Astyanax mexicanus: one gene and its partner. The protein of the gene in region 1 interacts with the protein of each later gene in a pairwise test. Links are inferred from orthologs where the notes say so. Each region holds a gene or a part of one and is shown on either strand. Other genes may lie near its edges. The genes, in order: pak5 and psmf1.

The links.
Region 2: the proteins of pak5 (region 1) and psmf1 interact in binary tests that used the Homo sapiens proteins (3 or more experiments, as listed by UniProt). The two-hybrid records come from large-scale screens. The link is inferred for Astyanax mexicanus from reciprocal best matches to the Homo sapiens genes PAK5 and PSMF1.

Annotation. Positions count from the first base shown.
Region 1 is NC_064408.1:73,055,237-73,066,863, reverse strand, and holds the start of pak5 (serine/threonine-protein kinase PAK 5), read left to right. Parts: upstream 1-6,233; 5' UTR 6,234-6,247; coding exon 6,248-6,353; intron 6,354-11,627.
Region 2 is NC_064412.1:57,501,415-57,513,078, forward strand, and holds the start of psmf1 (proteasome inhibitor PI31 subunit), read right to left. Parts: upstream 4,645-11,664; 5' UTR 4,538-4,644; coding exon 4,409-4,537; intron 3,480-4,408; coding exon 3,327-3,479; intron 3,239-3,326; coding exon 3,156-3,238; intron 2,418-3,155; coding exon 2,238-2,417; intron 1-2,237. UniProt on the Homo sapiens protein: Plays an important role in control of proteasome function. Inhibits the hydrolysis of protein and peptide substrates by the 20S proteasome. Also inhibits the activation of the proteasome by the proteasome regulatory proteins PA700 and PA28.

The DNA of each region.
Region 1 (11,627 bases):
AAATAAGTCTCAGCTTCCAAGGGCTAATGTCTAACGACTGAACCTCATTCAGAGAAACTCAAGCAGCGTGGACTGTATCTCAAAATATGTCGCTGTGGGAAACATTTCAGATGTTTTAGATGGTTGTTCTCATGTTGCTGGTTGATGCAGAGAGTGTGTCTGTGGTGGAGGTACAGGACGTATATCTGCACTGCTAGGCCAGATGCCCCCGCAGTCCTCAGTCTCAGCAAGTCACAGCGGCCTTCGCTGGCTGCGTGGGCGTCTGTAAAAATAGCTTGTGAAGTGATAGAGGGGTGTGGTACCACTGCAGACTTCACACTGAGCTCCTGGGGCCTTGGGAGACACACCGGCCCCTTTAGAAACACTTGATAGTTTAAAGGATCTGAGGGTCTTTTGAGGGTCTTCACTCACTGAGGAGCTTTTAGGGTCTCGGGGGGTGGGCTCTGTTCAGTGGTGTCAGTAAAAATAGATATTGAGCTGTGTGTGTGTGTGTGTTTGTTAGCACAGGTTTCAGGTCACTGTTTAGAAGTTTTAAGTCTTTATTTTATAAAAGGTGAGAGTGAATCTTTAGGTTAACAAAAAGCACATTTTAGAAGGAATTAAACTGAGGCTGATTAATGAATCTGTTCATATTAGGAGTGTGCCACATCATATCATACACAGTATATTGTGACCCAGTAATATTGTCTAAAAAAATCCACATTGTGACAATGCATCTTCTTGTCTTGAAAGCAGTCTGTTATTTACTGTGGTTAAGGGTATTCTTTGAATCTTTGTGAAATTGTTTATGCTCTATCCTGTTTTAGTATCTGTTTAGTATTTTTGTATCGTGTATTTTTATAGTTATGTAATTTATCTATAGTAGCCCTGTCAAAAACCTCTGGAATATAATCAAGAGGAAGATGGATGATCACAAGACATCAAACCAAGCTGAACTGCTTAAATTTTTGCACCAGGATTGGCATAAAGTTATCCAAAAGCAGTGTGTAAGACTGGTGGAGAGCATGGAAGCAGTAAATAAAAATCAGTTTTCTTTGCGTTATTTGAGGTCTTGTCAATCTACCTGTACATAATAAAATGAGCAAAACTAATGATTTGAATTGGTCTTTTAAAATATATTTTTTTACAATTAACTGCCAGGGCTTTTAGGGAACAAAATGAATTAAAAACAAAACAAAATTGTAAAAAAGAAAAAAACAATCATATATTGTGCAATATATATATATATACAGCCCAGGAATATAATCAAAAGAAGATGGATGATCACAAGACATCAATGCATGAAAACTGTGATTAAAAACCATGGTTGTTCCACCAAATATTGATTTCTGAACTCTTAAACCTTTATGAATATGAACTTGTTTTCTTTACATTATTTGAGGTCTGAAGGGTCTGCAAATTTGTTGTTATTTCAGCCGTTTCTTGTTTTCTGCAAATAAATTCTCTAAATGACAATATTTTTATTTGGAATTTGGTAGAAATGCTGTCCGTAGTTTTGTAAAATAGAACAAAAATGTTTATTTTACTTAAACTCAAATAAAAATATGAACAATAATACTGCATGGCAAGAAACTCCAAACGATTGTGACAGTAACAGTGTGGACTAGAGACACAGAATCTGTTTTAAGTGACTGTAGCAGCTGTTTCTCTCCCTTTCTCTCTTTCTGTCTCTCTCTCTCTGTTCTCTCTCTTTCTGTCTCTCTCTCTCCCTCCCCTTTGTAAACCTCTCTTTCAGCTCTGTGTGACACACTTACTCTCACACACAAACAAATAGAGTAAAGAGGAAGCTGGGGTCCGCGCTTGGTGTCGGTGTCAGCCTCTGGTCACAAACCTGATGCGGTGTGTACGAACGCGTGTGTAAACGCACACAAGGTGCCAGTGTGCCCCGGGGCGTGAGAGGAAGTGGAACAGAGGGTGAGGATAGCGGGCATCTGCAGCAGGATGATGGTGTGGGCCGGGCAGAGAGGCGACTGCCCCAAGTGCCGGAGCTCTGGGCTTAGCCTGTCTGCAGTGGGATGCTGCCGTCGGCACTTTTTTTGGCCCAATCTCACGTCGGGCGCTTTCAGAGTGCGCATGGGTGAGCAGCCCAGGGCGAGGCCCTCACTGCACCTCCGCTGAGGAAGGGCCCGGGAATGCCATTCTCTCCATACATGTGCTGGATGACACTTTTATGGAAGCTAATGTTGTGCCGAGTGTGGCGATCTTTCCGGAGCCGTCGTTTGGGCAAAAGGGAATAATGAATTTGATACCAGGTAAGACTGTATGCAGTGGTGGAGCTTATTGTAGTTGTTGTTGTGTAGAAACCTTGTACAGTGCTAAAACTAAAGGTGTTAATAGGTTCTTAAGAGCAGTGAAAAGATGTGTATGAGGCTTTCAGACCACAACGATGACAGGTTACTCTATCATTTATTGTAACAGCTATTCTTCCCAGAATTACAGAGTTTTAGCTTAAATATAGAATATTATTGTTGGCTAATCAGGTGAGAACAGTTGTAGTTTGCAGTTGCAATTGTTTGTTTACTAAATGTCATTCATGATGTGATGACGCAGATGATGCATGTGTTCATTCATGCATTTAGTAACTTGGCAGTCAGACCACGCTTTAGATGACCACCTGTTTGGGTCAGACTCAGTTTAGACTGGCATTGCCTTTCAGGAATAGAGTGTCTTCCTCTCTGATTCTTTTGTAAGGTGAGCTTTCAAGTGTCTTTGAATGACCACACAAACACACACAGGTCAGCTAGTCCGTTCATTTCAGTCATGTGACCTTTGACATTTGATGTTCATTTAGCAATGTTATTATATTGTGAACTAGAGGATTATTAGGAATTCTTCTAGAGAGCCTGTCACATAATTCTCCAAAAAATAATTGTGAAAATGGTACAATTGTAAAAAATGCAATTACAAGTTACTTTTAAAGAGCAACGACCTTTTAATTATTGAGTATATTGTACATACTGAAAGTGTACAATATTTTGTCAGGTGTTAAACGTGTCTCACTATACTTTTATGCACAGGTAACCAAAACAATTGTTTGATCATTGTGGGCGAGTCGCTGTGCACATGCACACTGTAGAAGCGATGAGGCAACACGTTGAAAAGTGGTCGTAGGTTGCCAGTTGAATACAAAACCCTTATTGAGGGGGGTGACTATAGTTCTAAGGTTTGAACAGACTTGTGAAATTATACAGGAGAGAAGTTGTTCTGTATAAATAAAACTAAGAAAGTCAGTATATTGGTATGCTGGAGTATACTCGTATTTGTACTTGTATACTTTACATAAATGAGTGTAAATGTAGTAAAAATAATGGATAATTTTGAGGTGAGAATAAAATGAATAAAATGATTTATTGCTAGGGTAAATATAGGTTATGACCAAATATTGTGTGACAAGTTGATCATGTAATTATTGTGACTTATAGGCCAAGCAGGAATTGTGTTATTACATTTTTCCCATGCTTGCATATGACATTAATCATTTACAACCACATCTTAATATCTTTTTTTTTTTGTTCATGTCCCTCACTAATTTGTCAAAATGACGTTTGCTTAGATACTGCTGCCTCTATTTTTGTTTGTAAGTGACTCACATTTGTCATTAGTGTGACCTGTGGCCTAAAATGCCCACACTCATTATCACTAGCCACTGTTGGCATTCTTTCAACACTGGATGATGATAACAGTGATAAGCACACACACACGATGAAGTGCGAAAAAAAAAAAAAACTTGTGAATTGTGATCTGATGATCATTTACTTTGGTAACACAGGGTTATATCAGTGGTACAGAAGAGAACACATGGCCTGAATCAGATTTAAAAAATTGGTTCTAAATTACAATAAAAAAAACAGGAAAAACTAATTGTACCTTTTTTACTAGTCCTGTACTCAGTCTTAGTAAAATTCTCCTTGCACAGTCTGTGCATTTCTTTATTCAGTTAAGAGTGCTATGTGTGCTGAATGCCGCACTAAGGCCCGTACTTTAGAGGATGTACAGGGAATGGAATGGTCTTATAAAGTTGCTCCTGGAGGCCTGAGAGTTATCAGCACATGTGTACAGGAGCCTGAAATAGCCACAGGGCCTGTGCTGTGAGCAGGGCTGTTGGGGAAGGGCCAGACCCGCTCTGTCCCACACTGCCACAGTGCTGCTCTGAGCGGGAAACGCCTGCCGTCTCTCAGATGGCGACAGATGGTTCAAGGGACAAACAGAACTTAAGGATCTGTGCCTAGTTCCCCCTTTCAGTGCCACATCTCAGACCCATGGCTGTTGCTGAACATGCTGGACGAGGACATTAACTCCTCTATCTCTGGCCTGGCTTTGGGGCCTAGTACTGGCTAATATCGATAGGTAGGTATGAAAATATTTGTGTTATTACAAAAATATGGAAGTATCTTAATAGAAGACGATATTTAAAGTACAGATATTCACAGGTATATACACATTCTTTGTATACACATTCTTTGTAGTTTTAAGTTAAACTGTTTTTTTTCCTGCAATAATCATTTTATAGTGATTGATTTTTGTTCCAATCCTTTCAGCTCTCAGACAGTAAAATTTTTTTCTTAATTTTTTAAAGTTCTTAAGAATTGTATTGATAATTAAATATTAATTTTCCACTTTATTATATAGCAGAGAATCAGAGCCTCTGATTGGCTCCATTCTATCCTGCCTGCTCCTCACAAAGCCCTAAGGAGACATTAGAGCTGATATTAATTAAAGTTACAAAAAAAAAAGAAAATTACATAGGTTATTTCTGTTGTCATGGCAACCCAGACAGCACTGATTTATGGAATATACAATGTTTCCATTGATATGATGCATGTTTTATCGGTTGATATGGACAACACTAATAATCACCAGTATGAAGTGTCCAATTCTTAGAGACCTATAAACTAATGTACCAAAAGTCATGGCACAGTCAGTAGCATCATGATCCATGACTTTTTCCTTGTCCTATGGAAGCTAAAGGGTGCTGCACTGATCTGTGGGATACGTGTGTTGGACCCACTGCATTGAATGTGGATGTGATTTGTGCCAGAGAACTGTTCACATGGACAGTTTTAGCCAGACACTTCTTGTCACGATCATTGCCTCTACTGCACTGTCCACTGTGGGCAGTAATGTCTTCTATTATTTATTACTACTAGTCTGTAGCACTCCACCCCATTACATTTCATTTTCCAAAACAGATTTTGTTTGTGGCCCGCCATGTAATGGCTTGGGAAAAAAGCTTGAGTTGATACTTAAGCTTCTACAGAATTATTTTAAACTGTAGTATCTAAACTTCTACCCGAGTAATAAATGTCAATACTTTTGACACCTTTGTAGAGCTTGCTTGGACTTGCTTGTATAAAGAACATGCTGGCCAGTGTTTATAGTGCAATTCCATGACTTTTGGAATGTCAGTGCATATAACTATGAATTTTGCAGTGTGACATTACTCCTTGATCTGGGAATAGACTCATAAAATAACCACCAGACGAGCAAATAAAATCTTTCTTATGGCACCTGCTGTCTTAACCTTGGCTTAATTCAGTGTTTCATTCAGAGAGGCAGGGTTTTGTTCCTCAGAAATGTGCATGGTGCAGGATTGCAACACAAACAGGAGGTTTCAGTATTAACTCTCAGTGAATTTCCTTCTTCTGTCTATAAAATAGAACTTTTGGACTTCCCAGTGCACGAACCAACCAAGAAAAGAAAAGCCTACATTATGCATATCCATGAGCTCATCCACTGAGGGAATCCTCCACAACCCTCTAGATTAACATTTCATTCAAAAACATGCATGGCAGTTCAATCGCTTTTCTACCTAAAAGCCTGCAAATGTAAGTGGTGTATGCAATTAGATTCAGTGATGGGTTTGCGTGTGGTTGACTTTTTACTGACAGCAGAGAAAAAAAGGCTCCCAGTGCCCTGCATTTCCTTTTTTTCCCCTTTAACTGTTGGCCCAGGATGCCTTAAGCCCTCTCTAGTCTGTGTAATCTCATTCCCAAGACGTCCATACTCATCTAGGTCATAGGTTTCATTTGGAGTATGACTGCAGACAGCCCCTTCACTCTCATCCCTCTGCTCATAATCCCGTCCAATCCCTTAAGCGTGGCGCGTTTGCGGAGCCGTGGCACAAGCAGTGCAAACCCCGGCACATTAAGGGCTTGTCTGGACGTCCATTGTCCAGAGTCCAGCCAAGCTTTACTGTCAAGTTTCGGAGTCGATTTTTATTGAGATGTCATGTCAGGATTTTGCTGTGATGTCAGGAATTATGACAGCAGGGCTCCTACAGCACGTCTCATCGCAGTGTTTGGACTGGGGCTTCAGAGACCAGGCTTCTGCACTGAAGATGAAGACTGAGTCAGGTCTATATGATCATAGATTTTGCCATGTACAAAATATGTCAATGTCTTCTCAGTGGAATACTGAAATATTTGCCTAAAGCAGTCGTTCAGTCAAGTGTGCGATTCTTTAGTTTTGATTTGGGGCTATTAGGCTAGTGTAGCTAACGTGATCACCAGTTTGCTCTCTGCAAATGATCACATAGCAAAAAGTCTGCTGCCCACTGTTATTAAACATGATTTAGAGCAGGCTCAACTCTCCAACAACAAATTAGGACTAAAGGGCGTTGGTCCTAATAAACCCAGCCGGCCAGATGACACTCTTTCAGCTCCCATTCACTCCTTTAGCTGCCCATTAAGTAAATCGCATAGTGGGAGGGGGATAGTCTTAGCTGATAATCTACTCTGTAACCTTGGATTAAAGACACTTTCAGGTCTCTGGGTGAAAAGTGTGTACTTATTCTGGTATACTGTGTTTATGTTGTTTCACCCAGACTTTGTTCTTTGGCTTTTTCTGGATTTTATTGGCTTTGGCCAATGTTTGGAGAGGGCCCTTTAAATGGACAGATAAATAAACAGCAATAGGCCACATTGGCAACACTTAGTGTGGGCATGAGGCCAAAGGAAGAAAGGGCTTTTGGCATGCCCGCATTGCGTAGGAGATGAGGTGAGGTGATTGACAAGTCAGCAGAATACAGATAAGGGCGCTGATAGAGGGGCTGGGAAAGCAGTGCTGTGCACAATCAGCTGTTATTTTGGGTCGATGATACATGTGTAAGGTATGAGAACAATTACCAGCCAGGTCTGTAAGCATTTGAATAGTGACACAATTTTGTATGTTCATTTACACTATGCAAGGTTTAAAAAAAATAATTGTGCTTCTTTTAGATGTGCAGTAACAATTTCAGCCGTAATAATTCAATCCACATTTTTTAAAGGCACACTATACATCATTTGGTTGATGTATAGAGATTCCCCCTATAGACTAAAAGTTCACTGTGGACTAGCCATGCGTGATTGTTTTGAGCACAACAGACTGGCAAAAGGGTTGAAAGTAAAATACAAGTATAAAAAATCTAATCTAAATCTAGGGTCATCAGTAAATGCTAGTCTAGGCAGACTTATTCATTCTGTGAGTTTTATGGTTAGCAAACACGACTAGATCTTGTACCCGTGTTTCTAATGTAAAGCAAGACTGAACTGAGGGCTACTCAACTTTTGTTCACTCTGTAATGACTAATTTAATTATCTAAAACAGTATAAAATGAATTGATTAACTAAAAAAATATTGTATAGTGTGCCTTTAATGGATCGTGTATTTCTTTTTAAAACCTTATCCAGTTCTTTAGTTTTGTGGTAACAGAGACCTATTCTGCTGTCCTTTAAACACTATTAACAGACATGATTTACAGCTACCGCAGTTAAAAGCATCTCAAATAATAACAAAAACAGTCTGCAGTTTGCCTGTATTCTGCCATTTTTGTCCATACCATCAAAACCACTGTTGGGTTGTACTTGTGCACGGACAGATAATTAATATAATTCTGTAATATCTACTTGGGGGCTCAATTGATCAGCCTTGTTTTTCCAGTCCATCTGGGGGAATTTGCAGTCAACAAGTCAACAAATTGATCTCTTTGTAATGTCCCTTAAACTATTCCTGAACCATTTTTAACTATTTTTTTACTGGCTGAAAGAGCCAGTTTGCCATGAAGGGCTTTGACATCCACATGGATGTTACAAACTCAGGGTTTTCCAGCAGAACTCATGTGCAACTCATGTGCTCAGTGTTGGAGTTTCCAGAGGACAGGGGTCAGCATGGGAACACCCACTAACTGTGAAACACATACTTCTGCTAGAACCAATATTTGGTAACAATTTATGCTACATTCCTGTGTGCAGTGTGACGTGGTTTACCAGATGTTTTGTAGTAAACACTACATATCTGGAACACAAGACCTGCTGTTTTGGAGATGCGCTCTGAGCCAGTCATCTAGATATATGCTAATATTGGTTTTAATTTTTTATCAGTATTCAGTGTCTGCTGTATATAAGATGTTTAGTGTAGAATTGTTTCCATATTCTGCATGGAAGTTAAAAAAAATGCATATAGTGATTCAGCCTGACAAAATTTTAATATAAGCATTCGAGCAAATATATATATATTTTTTTTGAATGACAGAACTACTGTGATTTCTGTAAGATTTCTTTAATTGTTTTAAATAACTACACGTGGGAAATAATTCATATTAAATTACCCCACACTTTTCATCACTGGCTGATATTTTTTTGTACTATTTAATAATTGATTTCTAAATTGTTAAGGCTTTGTTAAGGCTTTCCCTGTGCACTCATGATCTGAGATGATATGTATATGATGTTTATGAAGCCTGATGGCAACAGTCCAGCTAAACCTTTTTAATAGTGGAGAAGCCCTGAGTGCTTGTACTCTGTTCCAGTGCAAATGTATGCATGTGGCATATTCAGATTAGAGCTTCCAACTTTAGCGTCATCAACTGTGTTTCCAGAGCCTGGTTTGTTATCATCATAAAAAAAATCAACCTACTTTAAGGGTTAACTGCCTTGACTGAACACATGAGAGAAATTGTGTAGTACTTGGGCTAAACAGTGTATAGTTTCATTGTTATTGCAGTGTTGTCCTTTGCAGCGGAGATGTTGCTGCAGACTGCAAGTATGCAGTATGCAAATGAGGCCTTTAATACATCACATGTTTTAAGTGTGTTGTTTATTGTGAGCATGCTGACCAATATTGGAATTTCCTGATTTGTTATTGTAGGTATTTTGATGAACCAAATTTCTCACATGATCTAACAGAAATAATTATGTTGCTCAGAATAATCCAGATTGATTTGTTTAGTGAAGTAACATAAAGAGGTTACCAGTGTGTTTATGTGCATGACCAGGCATATCTAAGTCCTGAATATGTAGCAGTATAAGCAAAATATACGTTTTTATCTACTTTTTTGAAACTTCCAGCCAGGAAATCCCCTGCTTGACCCGTCTCTTCTCCTCCTCTGCGAAGACTGTACGTCTGGCCTCTTCAGAAACCCCCTCTCTCCTCAGCACCCCGCTCTCTACTGTTTAAAACCACTAAATCATACCCAACGACTCCCCTGGAGCTAGAGTGAGCAAATTGAATGCGAAAGAGTCCATTAATCAGCTCTATGAGCTGCTGTGTTATTTTTCACTTTCTCGCTTACTGAGAGCCGTCCACACTGGCAGCTCTCTCAGGTGTTGCTGGGAGACAGAGCACTCCATTCATGCAAAACACGCCGCCGCTGTTTAACACACAGGTTGAATCTTGGGTGCTTCTCAGATATGCCCATGGGGTCGATTTCAGCAGCCGATATAAACGCTTGGACATGGATTAAGCTTGGTGTTGGACTAAATTGAAGTAGCAAAAGTGATTCAGCATGAGAAATTGCTTGTCCTTGTTGATCTCATGTCATAGAATGTAAAATTGCCAAATGTAAACTGCCTGGCCGAGTCGCCACTAAGTAAATGATGTGGGGTTGATGCTGCAGTTGGTCAGGTCTGGGTTCAGCAACAGTATGTGCTGAAAGAATGAGGTCAGCTGACAACCTGAATATACTGAATATAGACCAGGTTATTCCATCAATAGATTTTTTCTTCCCTGATGATACGGGCATATTCCAAGATCACAATGTGAGGATTTATGGGGCTGGAATTGTGAAAGAGTGATTCAGGGAGCATGAGATCATCATTTTCACACATGGATTGTTCACCACAGAGTCCAGACCTTAACCTCATTGAGAATCTTTGGGATGTACTGGAGAAGACTTTGTGCAGCGGTTGTTCAGACTCTACCATCATCAATGCTGCAAGATCTTGGTGAAAAATTAATGCATCACTAGATTAAAATAAATCTTGTGACATTGCAGAAGCTTACTATTATTATTATAGTACTATTAAAGTACTACTGTATGTGGCAATGATTTTCATATTTTACACTTTTCATAAAATGAAATACAGGAAGGTTATTTTGGCACCTTAAAATATGAAAGCTGCAAGTTTAAAGACTATTTTTGGGCTACATAAAATTCGACTCTAAAATGCTGCTCTAAGGAAAGACTAAGATAAATGTTTATCTGATGTCTGTTTTGAAGCCAAGCATGACCAACCTGATTTTGACCCAAATTAAATGATGTTACAAATAGTTTAATTGTTTAATTTAATTTAATGCCCTTCTCATTCTCCTTCACACCTAGACACCTGCAACTTAGAGAGAGAGAGAGAGAGAGTGAGTTTGTGTGTGTGTGTGTATGTGTGTATGAGAGAGAGAGACAGAGAGAGAGCCCAAGGTAAACTGCGGAAATCTCTTTCTAATAAGCGGTTCTTACAGAAAAAATACACGTGATGTGTGAACAGCCTCTAATTGAAGTCAGCTTTACATATATTAATATAAAAAATTGCATGAGTCTAATATACATGGTTTTTATTAAGGCTAAATGTGATCCGAAACAGACGGACTAAACACAGCCCAATTTGCTACGTCTATATTTGGTCTAAACAAGGGTAATGATGTACTAAGCTAATAAAATGTATACATTAAATGTGAAGGAAACAATAGCTATAAGAACACAACAAAATCTAAATTGTATTTGAGAATCGCTTATATATTTGAAGAATATCAAGATTTTAGTTCTTTACTGCATCACACAGCCCTAGGATAAAGGTACTGATGTAACACACAAAAAAAACAGAAAACGTTATTTTTTATTTAGAAACTGATTAAAAAGTATGGTGGATGCACAGTTAGACTCCTTCTATTCAACACTTGCAGTCCTGACCTTGCACACAGCTCTTGCACACTGCTGTGACATCTGTCACAAATAGCTTGAGTTTTGTTCTGCTTGCAGTGTGTGTTCACTTGGCACAGCTTTCTCTTGTTCATGATCAGCTGCTGCAGAGATTCTAACCAGTTGTGAAGAGACTTTAGACAACAGGCACACTGTAAGTTGACACAGTTTTTTTGCCGTATTTCCCAGCCCAGTCTGAATGTAAAATCAGCTGTCTTGTCTTCAATATAGAGTATCCTTTTATTTGTTGGACAAGTGCGTGTTGTGTTTCTGCCTTCTGATCACTGTTGGCACAAAGCCAGACAAAGACTATTAGAAGAAACTATAAGAAGGACTGGGAGATTTGATCATTTATTGCATTTTCCCAAATTAAGAAAAAGAAAATTGTTTGTTGGGTTAACATTCTCTAATGTCCAGTGAAGGGTTTGTTGCTGTGCGAGGTCAGGATGTTGGATGA
Region 2 (11,664 bases), on another chromosome or scaffold:
GCTGCTATACTTCAGTTTCTCTGATTTTGCTATTTATAGGTTTATGTTTGAGTAAAATGAACATTGTTGTTTTATTCTATAAACTACAGACAACATTTCTCCCAATTTCCAAATAAAAATATTGTAATTTAGAGCATTTATTTACAGAAAATGAGAAATGACTGAAATAACAAAAAAGATGCAGAACTTTCAGACCTCAAATAATGCAAATAAAACAAGTTCATATTCATAAAGTTTTAAGAGTTCAGAAATAATCAATATTTGGTGGAATAACCCTGGTTTTTAATCACAGTTTTTTTTCATGCATCTTGGCATCATGTTCTCCTCCACCAGTCTTACACACTGCTTTTGGATAACTTTATGCTGCTTTACTCCTGGTGTAAAAAGTCAAGCAGTTCAGTTTGGTGGTTTGATGGTTTGTGATCATCCATCTTCCTCTTGATTATATTCCAGAGGTTTTTAATTTGGTAAAATCAAAGAAACTCTTCACATTAAGTGGACTTATTTTTTTGCAGAGCTGTATATTGCAGGGTTGGGCCAGCAGCAGCAGCAGTGTTGATAAGCCTCTGACATCATAAAGAACCTGATAGGGTTTGGGTCAGTGCGGCAAAGTGAAGCTGAAGATGAGCAACACACTCCTCTCTGGCCTCCTGCCACGTCCTTAAGGACGACACTCCTCCTCCTCCTCCTCCGCCCCTCTCTCCCTCTCTCTCTCTCTTTCTTTCTTTCTCCCCTCTCTTGGTAAAAATAACATTTTGTGCCTCTTACTGCCTTGCAGCTCTTCAAATGCTGAATGTCAAATCTTTCCTTTGTATGAGTCATTTATTCCTCCACTCTTAAATTTCTCATTTATCTTTATTCTGACCTTCTTTCACATCTAATAATTCAATTAAACTATTTTATCTATCCATCTACACTGGTGCTTGAAAGTTTGTGAACCCTAAAAGTGTATAAAAGGAATCCAGTTAAGCAAATGAGACAAAAATATGATACGTGCTTATTTATTTAATGAGGAAAATGATCCAATATTACATATTTGTGAGAAAGGACTGCAGAGTAACTTCTAAGCAACTGAAGGCCTCTCTCATGTTAAAGTTCATGAGTCCACCGTAAGGAGAACACTGAACAACAATGGTGCACGTGGCAGGGTTGCCTATCATACACCCTGTATAAGGTGCGTCGTGATGCTCTTCGCTATCTTACACCCCGTCAACAGTTTATTTTCACATCTTGTGCCTGCGCCGTTAATGATGGGCGTGGTGGTCTGGAAATTAGGTGTGTTCAGTTACATTTCTGGAGTATTTCTTTTGCTCTCTCACAATACCAAAGACACAACGACAAGCCCTGAATCCATAAATTTTTTTATAAATGCTCTAATTCATTAACACACCCACAGTCACAGTGGAATGTGTTGTAATTGGTCAAATATCTCATTTAATCACATTTATTTCTATTAAAGCCTGGGTCTGGAACAACAATGCGTTTATAAGCTTTTACACTCAGAGATAGAGCTGATAGCAGAATGTGGTGATGGGAGCTCTCCACAGGAACCACAGTGCGCTGTAACTGGAGAACCATCAAGGTCAGGAGCTTTTAGCCAATAATGAGAATCAAAGCTTCTGCTCTCTCTATAGAGATTTATTCAAATAGAACTCGGTCACTGAGTTTATTGTGATTTCTGTTTTAGTAAAGATGTTGGGATTTACTGGACTATTACTACTGTCATCAATAGCTTAATATTGAACTAATATTACCTAGTTGAAGCAAAACGAGTAAATGAGTTGCTTAACTGAATTTAAAATATTATGACTTAATTAATAATATATCGTATTTTTCGGAATATAAGGCGTACCGGATTATAAACCACATTATTTTTAAAGTGAAACGAGTGCTGGATGTTAATCTACACAGATTTCTCTCCTGAAAACTGTTTATTTAGGTGAGTAAATATCCAGTATCCAGATTTCCTCTAAGGCTAGCCATGGTTGTATAACTCTGTACTTCAGTGGAGTGTCTTTACTGCTCCTTAATACCTGACTGATAGAATTCATACATAAGGAGCACCGGATTATAAGGAGCTCTGATGAGTTTTGGGATAATTAAAGGATTTTAAGTGCACATTATAGTGCAAAAAATACAGTAATGTTATAAATTCAAGATCATTTTGATCAAATTCCACAGCGATAATGAGAACATGCAAAAAAAAGTGTAAAAAATGATGCACACTCTTTACTCACCAGTTTGGGGGGCGAGCGGTGGGGGGAACTCTGGAGGGGATGCGGAGAGGGTCGTGGTCGGGATTGGGTCGGGTGTCTGCAGCTGGAGGTCTTTCTCTCTTCTCTTTCTTCTCTGTTTTTGCTGCAGGCAGCAGTGAGGACTTCAGCTTCTTCACCAGATCTTCTGTGTTCTTAAACACACTAAAGAAGGATAGAAATTCTGGGTTAAAAAAGTTCTGGTGTTTCTGTTTTTCCGCTAGTGTCTCTCTGCCTCTATAAACAATTTAAATACTCCAAACATAAAAAAAAAAACCAATCCATCCGCTTCCTGTTAATCAGCTGAAAGAATTAAGTGTACGAAACGTTTTCTTCTATCAGCCGTTTAGCTCCTCCCTTATTGTGATGTCACAATAAGAAAACCTGCATAGAACCACCCTGGCTCCACCCCTCACTTGTCAACCCCCACTAGAGCCCCGCCCACTAGATTTTCTAGTTGAAGAAACGTTTCAAATTCGTTCTGCTGGTTGAGAACCTCAGACAGTACACAGCAGGATTATCCAGCAGACTTCTTTTGAGGGAGGGATCTGTAACTAATGACTGTGGCAGGTCAGCAGATAAGGGAGATGTAAGAACTTTCAAATAATTCGTTTTTTGGATGGTTTAGAATTTTAGACTAATTACAGTAATTTGAGGTAGCTTATGATCACCATTTAAATGACTCTTTGCTGGTGATTCTGTATCTACTGTAACTGTAGATTAACCCTCCTTCATAAACACTAATAAAAGCGATCTGAGAGTAATCTGCTACGCACATTATGCTGTATGAATTGTATGCATGTTTTAGGGTAAATTTAATTACAGAGTAATGACAACATATCAAAAGCACATAAACAGTAAAACTTTATAAATTAGTGTGGAATAAATGCATTTAAAACCAACCTGTCAAACGTCTGCAGACTGTTCTCATCTACATAATCAGAAACAGTGATGGTCAGGTCTGTTACTCTGTCTGTAGCGGAGTCCTGGTAGATATATAAAGAGGTTAGAGGTCACAAAACTTCAGAAAAGCAGGTTAAATATTCAGGAATTCTCATGTTCTTTAGATTTTACCATGAAGTTGAAGATCAGGGTGGAATCCACAGTGATGGCCTTCAGGAGCAGGTTAGATTTATCATCGCTGGATCTGTAGCGCAGGGTGTACAGCTCTTTGCTGGCGTTCCAGGCTGCAGGAAGCAACTCGGATTTCTTCTCTCCATCTCGAGGCTACAGGATGGAAAGAGAGAGGAACTGTAAGCTGTGTAATACTTACATATAATTACACATTAATGTATATATATATATATATATATATATATATATATAGTATTGCAATGTGACCATCAGCTTAGACAATGTGAAACCAGCTACCAGCAAAAGCTGGAATTCTTTCAGCAGAGAAAAACAACAAACATACAAATTATATATATATATATATATATTTTTTTTTTTTTAAGGAAGAAGACACCAATGAAGAAGCTGATATAATTATGTTATCACTAGTTCTGCACCATAAATGATTAATTATTAACAGTACAATAAAAAAGCAAATCATTCACTTACACTTTTAAAAAATTAGCTAGTTTAGTTTAATCTCCAGCACTAAGCTTATAATAAATAAATAATACGGTGAGATAAACACACACAGATTCACACGCTGTTCTGTGGAATAATGATGTTAAAATGACTAAGAAAGTGCTATAAGGAGTTTTACACATCTTTTAAAATACTAAGAAATATTGTGATTATGTATATATATATTTTTTGCAATTGTCAATTTATGCTTTCTTAACTTATTTTATATTATCTTATCAATTATTTTGTGCTGTGTAAATGTATAATGTGTGAATTAGGTTTGTGGTGTAGCTTTGTATTGTATATGTTGTGTGAATGGTGTTGAATGTTATGTTTGGTTAAAAAAGGAACAATAAAAGAATATTATTATGACAAAAAAACGTTAGTGTGCTGTGTCACTGAGCTACACTTAATTAACGTTACACTTAATAAACAATAAATTAATCAGCTGGAGTTATGTATTATAACGTTATATAAGAAAGAGTGAGTAGCCGCAGGGTTAAGAGACAGTGTTAATCATATTTCACTGTATTTATATTGAGTTTTATTGAGTTTTATTGAGTTTATTAGAGAAAACTCACCTGATCTCCAGTCCCTAAACACTTAAACCCGCTTTTAATAATCTCCCAGTGAACAAAACACACCGCCGCGTCCTGAGCGCAGCTAACAGAGCCCAAAACCCCGCTGTACAGAACCTCCAGCCCCGCCATGACCCAGCAAAAACCTGCAGAACCTCCAGAACCGAAACCAAAACAGCCCTGATCTGTTTACATCTGCTGCATCACACCGCCTCCCCGCTTAACCGGTCCGGAGTGAACACGCAGCCGCCAGACTTCAGTTCCGGTGTTGTGCCGAATTATGCTACCCGTCGATACGTGCTTCCTAAAGACACTACGTTACATGCGGTAACCTACATTTTATTATTACTTCTCCTGTGTTTTATAATAATTATGTTTTCCCGTGTTTTTTTTCTGTGCATTTAACAACCTGACGACACTGTCATTACACCGTCAAAGTATAATGACTATTAATAATAATAACAACAATAATTAAAAATAAAAATAATTTCTCTAAAAATACAAAAGCAGATTATAATAAAATAGTACATAAACTTCTACTGGGAAAGTGCTTTAATACTGTGCTTCTTTTATATGTTTACCTTTAAATATACACAAAAGGGTAGCACGGTTTGATAGGGTAGCACAACTCGACAGAACACCGGTGCTGTGCCAAATTCAAGCACCCTCCACCAGGAAAAACACCCTCACTAGGGATAAGCTGCGGGTGACATGATTATTTTTATTTCTTAATATTTATCTTATAACAGGTTATAACAGTATATTGGGTATTTCCATTCTTTAAGTAAAACTAAGTTAAAACCAAGTAGACAGTTATGTGCGCGCTCCCGAAAGGGGGATGCTTTTTCGGGCGGGGGTGCTGAATTCGGCACAACACCGGGTCTTCATATCACTGTAGGCCGCTAGAGCCCGCGGGAGAGTCCTTAGTGAATGGGGTGAATGGAACTAAAAAAACTAAATAAATAAAATAAAAACAATTAAACAAAGAATTTAAAATAGCAAATAGCTAATTGTTCATTATATTCCTTTAATATTAAAAGCATAATATAGTATTTCATAAAAATATGTGTATTTATATTTTTCTGCAACAAACATTTTTCGACTTTTTGACACCTTTTTTTACTATTTTTTTTATATAAAAATAAAATGAATACAATAAAATAATAAAATATTATATATAATATAATATACAGTAAAATATATATATATATATATATATATATATATATATATATATATATATATATATTTTAAAAGAACAAGAGACACTTCCATTATGATGATGATTTTTGACATCTTTTTATTTATTTATTTACTTATTGGCTGAGGCTCTTGGAATATTCAGCCAGGATGTTCAAAGGGATGTTCTAAAACTCTTATGAATGGTTTATGCAGGTATCATTTAGCCTTATTGCCTTATTAATACTGGCCTATAATAAAGTCTTAATGAATATCTGTCGGTGTGTAAAGACTAAGCATGAGTCAGAATAGTCGTTTATATGATTTAAATCTATACCTAATGTTAACGTTAATGAAAATATATAAACACACAATGATTAATATGATTTATAGGCCGCTTCACTCAGCTTACTCTTTAATGTTCAGTCTTTTAGTTTCTGCAGATCAGTGTTTGGATCACAGTGATATCAGACAGACCTCTAATAACTAAACCAGCCCCTGTTTACAGTAACATGGATTTTCCACAGATAGACAGAGATGAGCTCTTCTCTCTCCTCCTCCTCTCACGGTTTAACCCTCCTGAAATAAATCATTAAAGAATGTGGTCTCCAGTTTCATCATGGAGCTTCGCCTGACTTTCTCCAACCAGCAGGAATGATAACACAGCCATCTGCTTTAACTTCAGCTCCATTGGAAACACATTGTTCAGAAGTTAATTTCAGAAGCTTGCTCTGCTATTCGACCCAGGCCTTGTTATAGAAATGTTAATTTACAGTGTTTATAAAGACCTTTGTGAACTTTTGCCAAACCCTGAGAACTTTAGATCCAAACTATTCAGACTATTCCTCCTTATTGAGCTTCTATTCCAGCTTTATTACTGACTGTAGAGCCTGGACTGATTTTAGTACCATTTATCAAGAGTGAATCACATCTACATCCTCCATCCTCCACTGAAAACCCAAAAATCAGTGTTCTAATCAGAAAATTAGAATATTATATAAGACCAATTGGTACTTTGGGAGCAGTGTGGGCAGTGTGCCAAGTCCTGCTGGAAAATGAAATCCACATCTTTATAAAAGTTGTTTTCAGCAGAGGGAAGCTGTAAGATATGAAGTGCTGTAAGATTTTGTTGGAAAACAAAACTGCACTGACTTTAGACTTGATAATAAAACACAGTGGATCAACAGCAGCAGATGACAGACATGACTCTCCAAAAAAACCATCACTGATTGGTGGAAACTTCACACTAGACCTTGAGCAGTTTGGACTGTGTGTCTCTCCACTCTTCCTCCAGACTCTGATCCCTTTATTTAAACATGAAATGTTTAATGAAGTGTTTTAGCAAGAAAACCAGACAATGGCTCAGTTAATACAGACCAAAACCCTTTTTAGTGAAAGCAAATTTGTGTTAATTGTTTTTGTAGCATCTTTTACTCCTGATATTTTCTGTGAAACTGAAGAGTTCGGACCAAACAGAGCTGGTGTAAAAGTGAAATCAGACTTTATTAATCTTTATTAATCTTTAACTAAGATCTTAAATCTGAATCTGATTCAGTCTATGTTATATTTCTGTCTGTAAGTAAGTTGCAGAACTCTGTGCTTTATAACAGTAAGAATGGGGCCACCATGTCTGAGGGTCTCCAGCCGGGTCCCTAACGAAACCCAGACCTGATGCATCATTATAATACAAAACGAGCTGCAGGTTCTCACGTTAACGCCAGACCGGCCCCACGCCACCGCGTGACCCCGAGCGTGCAGTAACGAGCGGCTGAGCCGCGTCTACAGGAGGAGGAATCTCTCTAATAGTGAGGATTGTGATTCACGCCTAATGACCTGACCTCACCATCAGAGCATCCACTTCACACAGGACACGACTGAATACATCAAACATTAAATACAATGTGAATGAATGTGTGTTATTATGTGAACATGGACCTTTTTATCTACATGAACAAAATATTTGTCCTTTCAAAGGAACTTAAAATATATGTAATACAGTGCTATAAAAAAGTTTGGGCACCCCTGATAATTTTCATGATTGCCCTTTATAAATATATATATATATATTTAGATCAGCAATTTCAGTTTAATATGTATGTCATATAAGCAGGTGAACATAGTGATATTTTAGAAGGGAAATTAAGTTCATAGGATTTACAGAAAGTGTGCAATAATTCTGACTTAATTAAACTAAATGAGCCAGACTCTCATTGGAAGCTATAAGAAGAGTTTAGAGGCTGTTATTTCTGCAAACAGGTGTTCTTCTGCTATTTGATATATTTAACTATATTTAATTTAAATTGCTAATCCCAACAACTGAATATTTATAAGGGAAAATCATAAAAAATGATCAGGGGTCCCCAAACCTTTTTCATACCACTGTACAACATCATGATATGGAGTTTTTTATTGTGTCAGAATTGTTGGCATATATCTAAAATAAACATTTGATTCATATCTGATGTGATTTTGTTTTATTTTCACCTTCTGGTTACCTTCTTGCAGCTCCGCCAGACTGAGATTAAAACATCTGAGGATCTTCTAAGAAAAGCATGATCAATAATCAATAATAAAATCAACGCCAGATAAATTATCTTAATAACTTAATAGCTGAGGGTGCAACTCTCAACTATAACAAGTGTTCTCCTGCATTAAACACAAACACACACACTTACACACACACACACACACACACACACACACACTCTCACACACTCCCAGTCCAGGTGCAGCACATGGTCCTGATTTGGGAGTGACCCCCGGGTGTGTATATCTCAGCTAATCATTGTCTTAAGCTCATAAACTTCTTCTGCACCGTAGAGGAAAGCCTTTAAACTAGCTCTTCTCTCCGTCTCCACTGAGAGACGCCAAGCCTGGAAATACAGAGCGTTAACTCTCTAATCCCTAAAGATTATAAAATTATATTTCCCAGCTCATTAATTAAGCAGCACTACACATAAATCTACTGCAGGATCTTTACGGCACTATTTAAAAGCTGTGCAGAACTTTAAATTAACCCATATACATATACATATGAACTGGTACAAAGACTTTGGGCCCTATTTTAGTGATCTATAGGTAAACTGTGCACCGTGCAGCTTGATTTAGGGTGCGTCAGTGTGTCTTTGCTATCATAACGACAGGAAAAGTACACCTTGCTCTGCTCTAAATGCAAAGCAAAAGTCATGTACTAATTCGGTTAATTATTCATAAGTGTGGTTTAATAATAATTTTGAGTGTAACGTGAAATAAACCAATCAGAGTGTCTCTTGCTCATCAATCTCTTTAAGAGAGTCAGGTGAGTTCTGACTTTGGTGGATTGCTATTGTAACGGTGCAGCTACCTGGACGTGTCCAACAAACTCTTCTCAGCAGAGGAAACTGAGCTGCTGGTTGACGCTGTGAAGGTTCGTATAAGAAGTGACAACATTTAAATATAGCCTGGCGCAGAGTGTTCCTGCCCTATGATGGTTCGAATCCTGGTCATGCAGCTCACCATCAGCTGCCAGAGCCCCGAAAGAGCACAATTGGCCTTGATCTCTCTGAGATTGGCCTAGTTAAATTGAGAGAAAAGTGAACATCTTCAGTATCACAGAAATTAATTTTTTTGGTTATTTATTATCTGATCTATTAATGTCAAGAAAAACAAATGCCTCAATCACCTTTAATTCACCCTCATCTTCAGGCCCTTTAATATTATTTACACCCACTAGAATGCACATCACTCTGAATAAGATCTGCTAAATTCCATAAATAAATGTTCATACAACCTCCAAAAACCCACATATGTGAATAATCCATATGACATGTGGTTTGAATGTGATGCACATCATCTTTAAGAATGCACATCTTTTTTACACACAGAAAAAGAGAAGTACATACAGTACACACAACGACCCGTACTCGTCCTCCTGCTGTGAACACCAGGAGTCTCCACCTCTCATCTCATACCATTCAGTTCTGTACATTCTTCACACTCCTCCTTCTTTCATGTCTGCCCTCAGGAATCCTTTAAACACGGTGCCGATCAAATCAGCGCTTCTCTTTTACAGCTCAGCTGATTAACGGCTTTCTGCTCGGCTGAGGGTCCAATCGGTAGCTGCCCTCAGCGCCCTGAGAGAAGAACAACCTCCAAACCTCCAAACGTGACCAAAGAGAAGAACTTTCACCTCTATTATCAGATACTAAGAGAGATATAACTCAAACATGATGAGACAGTGAGGATTCCTCGCTCTGCAGGACGTCAGCTTCACCTCCCAGACTCTGAATCAGGGCGTTAGTGTTTTGTTCTTCGGCAGAAACGTCCAATTTTTCAGTAAGAGGAACATCTGCTCTCCACCTGAGAAGAACATGTCCATGGATGGACCAGTAGAGGAGGAATACACTGGACAATTCCATAATATAAAAGCTCATATTTATAATTATAATGCAGAGTAAACTCCCTGTTACAGTTAAGATTACTGTCAGGTACAGAGTAGTAAGGAGACGTAGAGAGCAGATGCAATTGCCAGTATTTACCGTATTAAACAAGAATTAAAATTTAAGCAACAAATAAACACGGAAAACATAGAAACTACAAAAACCCGTAACCTGATTGAAGATAATACGCACAAGCACCGACAAGAAACAGTCGAAACAAAGGGACTATTTATACACACGGAAGAGGACAGCAAAACAGGAAACACCCGGGAACAGGTAACAAGGGGGTGGAGCTACAAATGAACACATGAAGATGAGAGCACAGAAGACAGCGGCGGGAAAACACAGAGACAGACATGAGAGACATAAAACAGGACGAGACCATGACAATTACAGCATAATAATACAGCATTTATTTATTTAGTATAGAAATAATAGTAGAGATTAAACTGTAGTAATAAAATAAAGCAAGACAGATTCATTGAGTGAGGGTTTGGTGTAAAACTGTTGATTTTTTATTTAGTATTGTTTTTAAAATCATCTGGCAAAAATATTTTTAAAAACATGATTTTTTTTTCAATTTGATGGATTGTGTTTTTTATACAGTTCATAAGTAAATACCAAATAAATGTTGAGGGAAAACTGAAAATTGTCATAAAATGAACCATAACTTATATCTTCACACTGTACAAATGAGTAAATGAGACAGATATGAGAAAATATAAGATTTAATGCTGAAAGATTTTCTAAGCTGTTGAAGAAACTGATAAAAGAAAATCTGTCAACAGTGGCAAAGTGAAAACTGACCATCCAAAATATGAACCAGTTTATTTATGTTACATTTCTGCCTCAAATTTATTCCACCAGATTCCCAGAAACGACGAATATCCGTCTGCAGTAAACAGAATACCTGCTTCTCACACATGCATTCACTCCAGAACACAGAGAACACAAACATCTACACTCCATAAATACAAACACTCAGCTAATGTGATTTTACTATCATTAAAACATCACTTTAATAAAAACTAAAGAACAGAGTTTAATCTACTGACTGTTTAATTTAAGTGGAAAGTTCTGAAGCGTTTGGAGAACAGTCACAGTGATTTACACAGCCACTGTGACCTAATTACACAATAAAGCTGTTTATTTCCTCTATTCTTTCCATTTCATCTCATTTTAGCTTCTGTATAAAACATTTGTTATCTGTTAAAACAGATCTGCATGGAGGGACTTTTATATAATGAAGATAATCATTCTCATGATTATCATAATCATATTATATTTGATAAAATAAACAAAGCTGACCACAAAACCTCTGGATAAAATGTTAATTTTAATGTAAATGTAAAATATTAGGATTTTGGCCTCAAAAAGCTCTTTTTAAGGCTTAGTTTAAAAAGTACATAAATAGATAGAATATATAAATAAAAAATATATATTATTTTTATTTTCATGGCTCTGTGCCTTTTTTGCAAATGCTACCAACCACTTACACCACAACAAAAACAGATTACAAATTAATATTTTGCATTTAAAAAACATTTATTAAATTATATTTTATTAGTGTTTTATAAAAGCTTTACAAACTCTAAATTAGAAATACAAAATCCTGTATTTTTGGATATTTATCTCTGTCTTTTGTTCTTAATGGCTTTATTT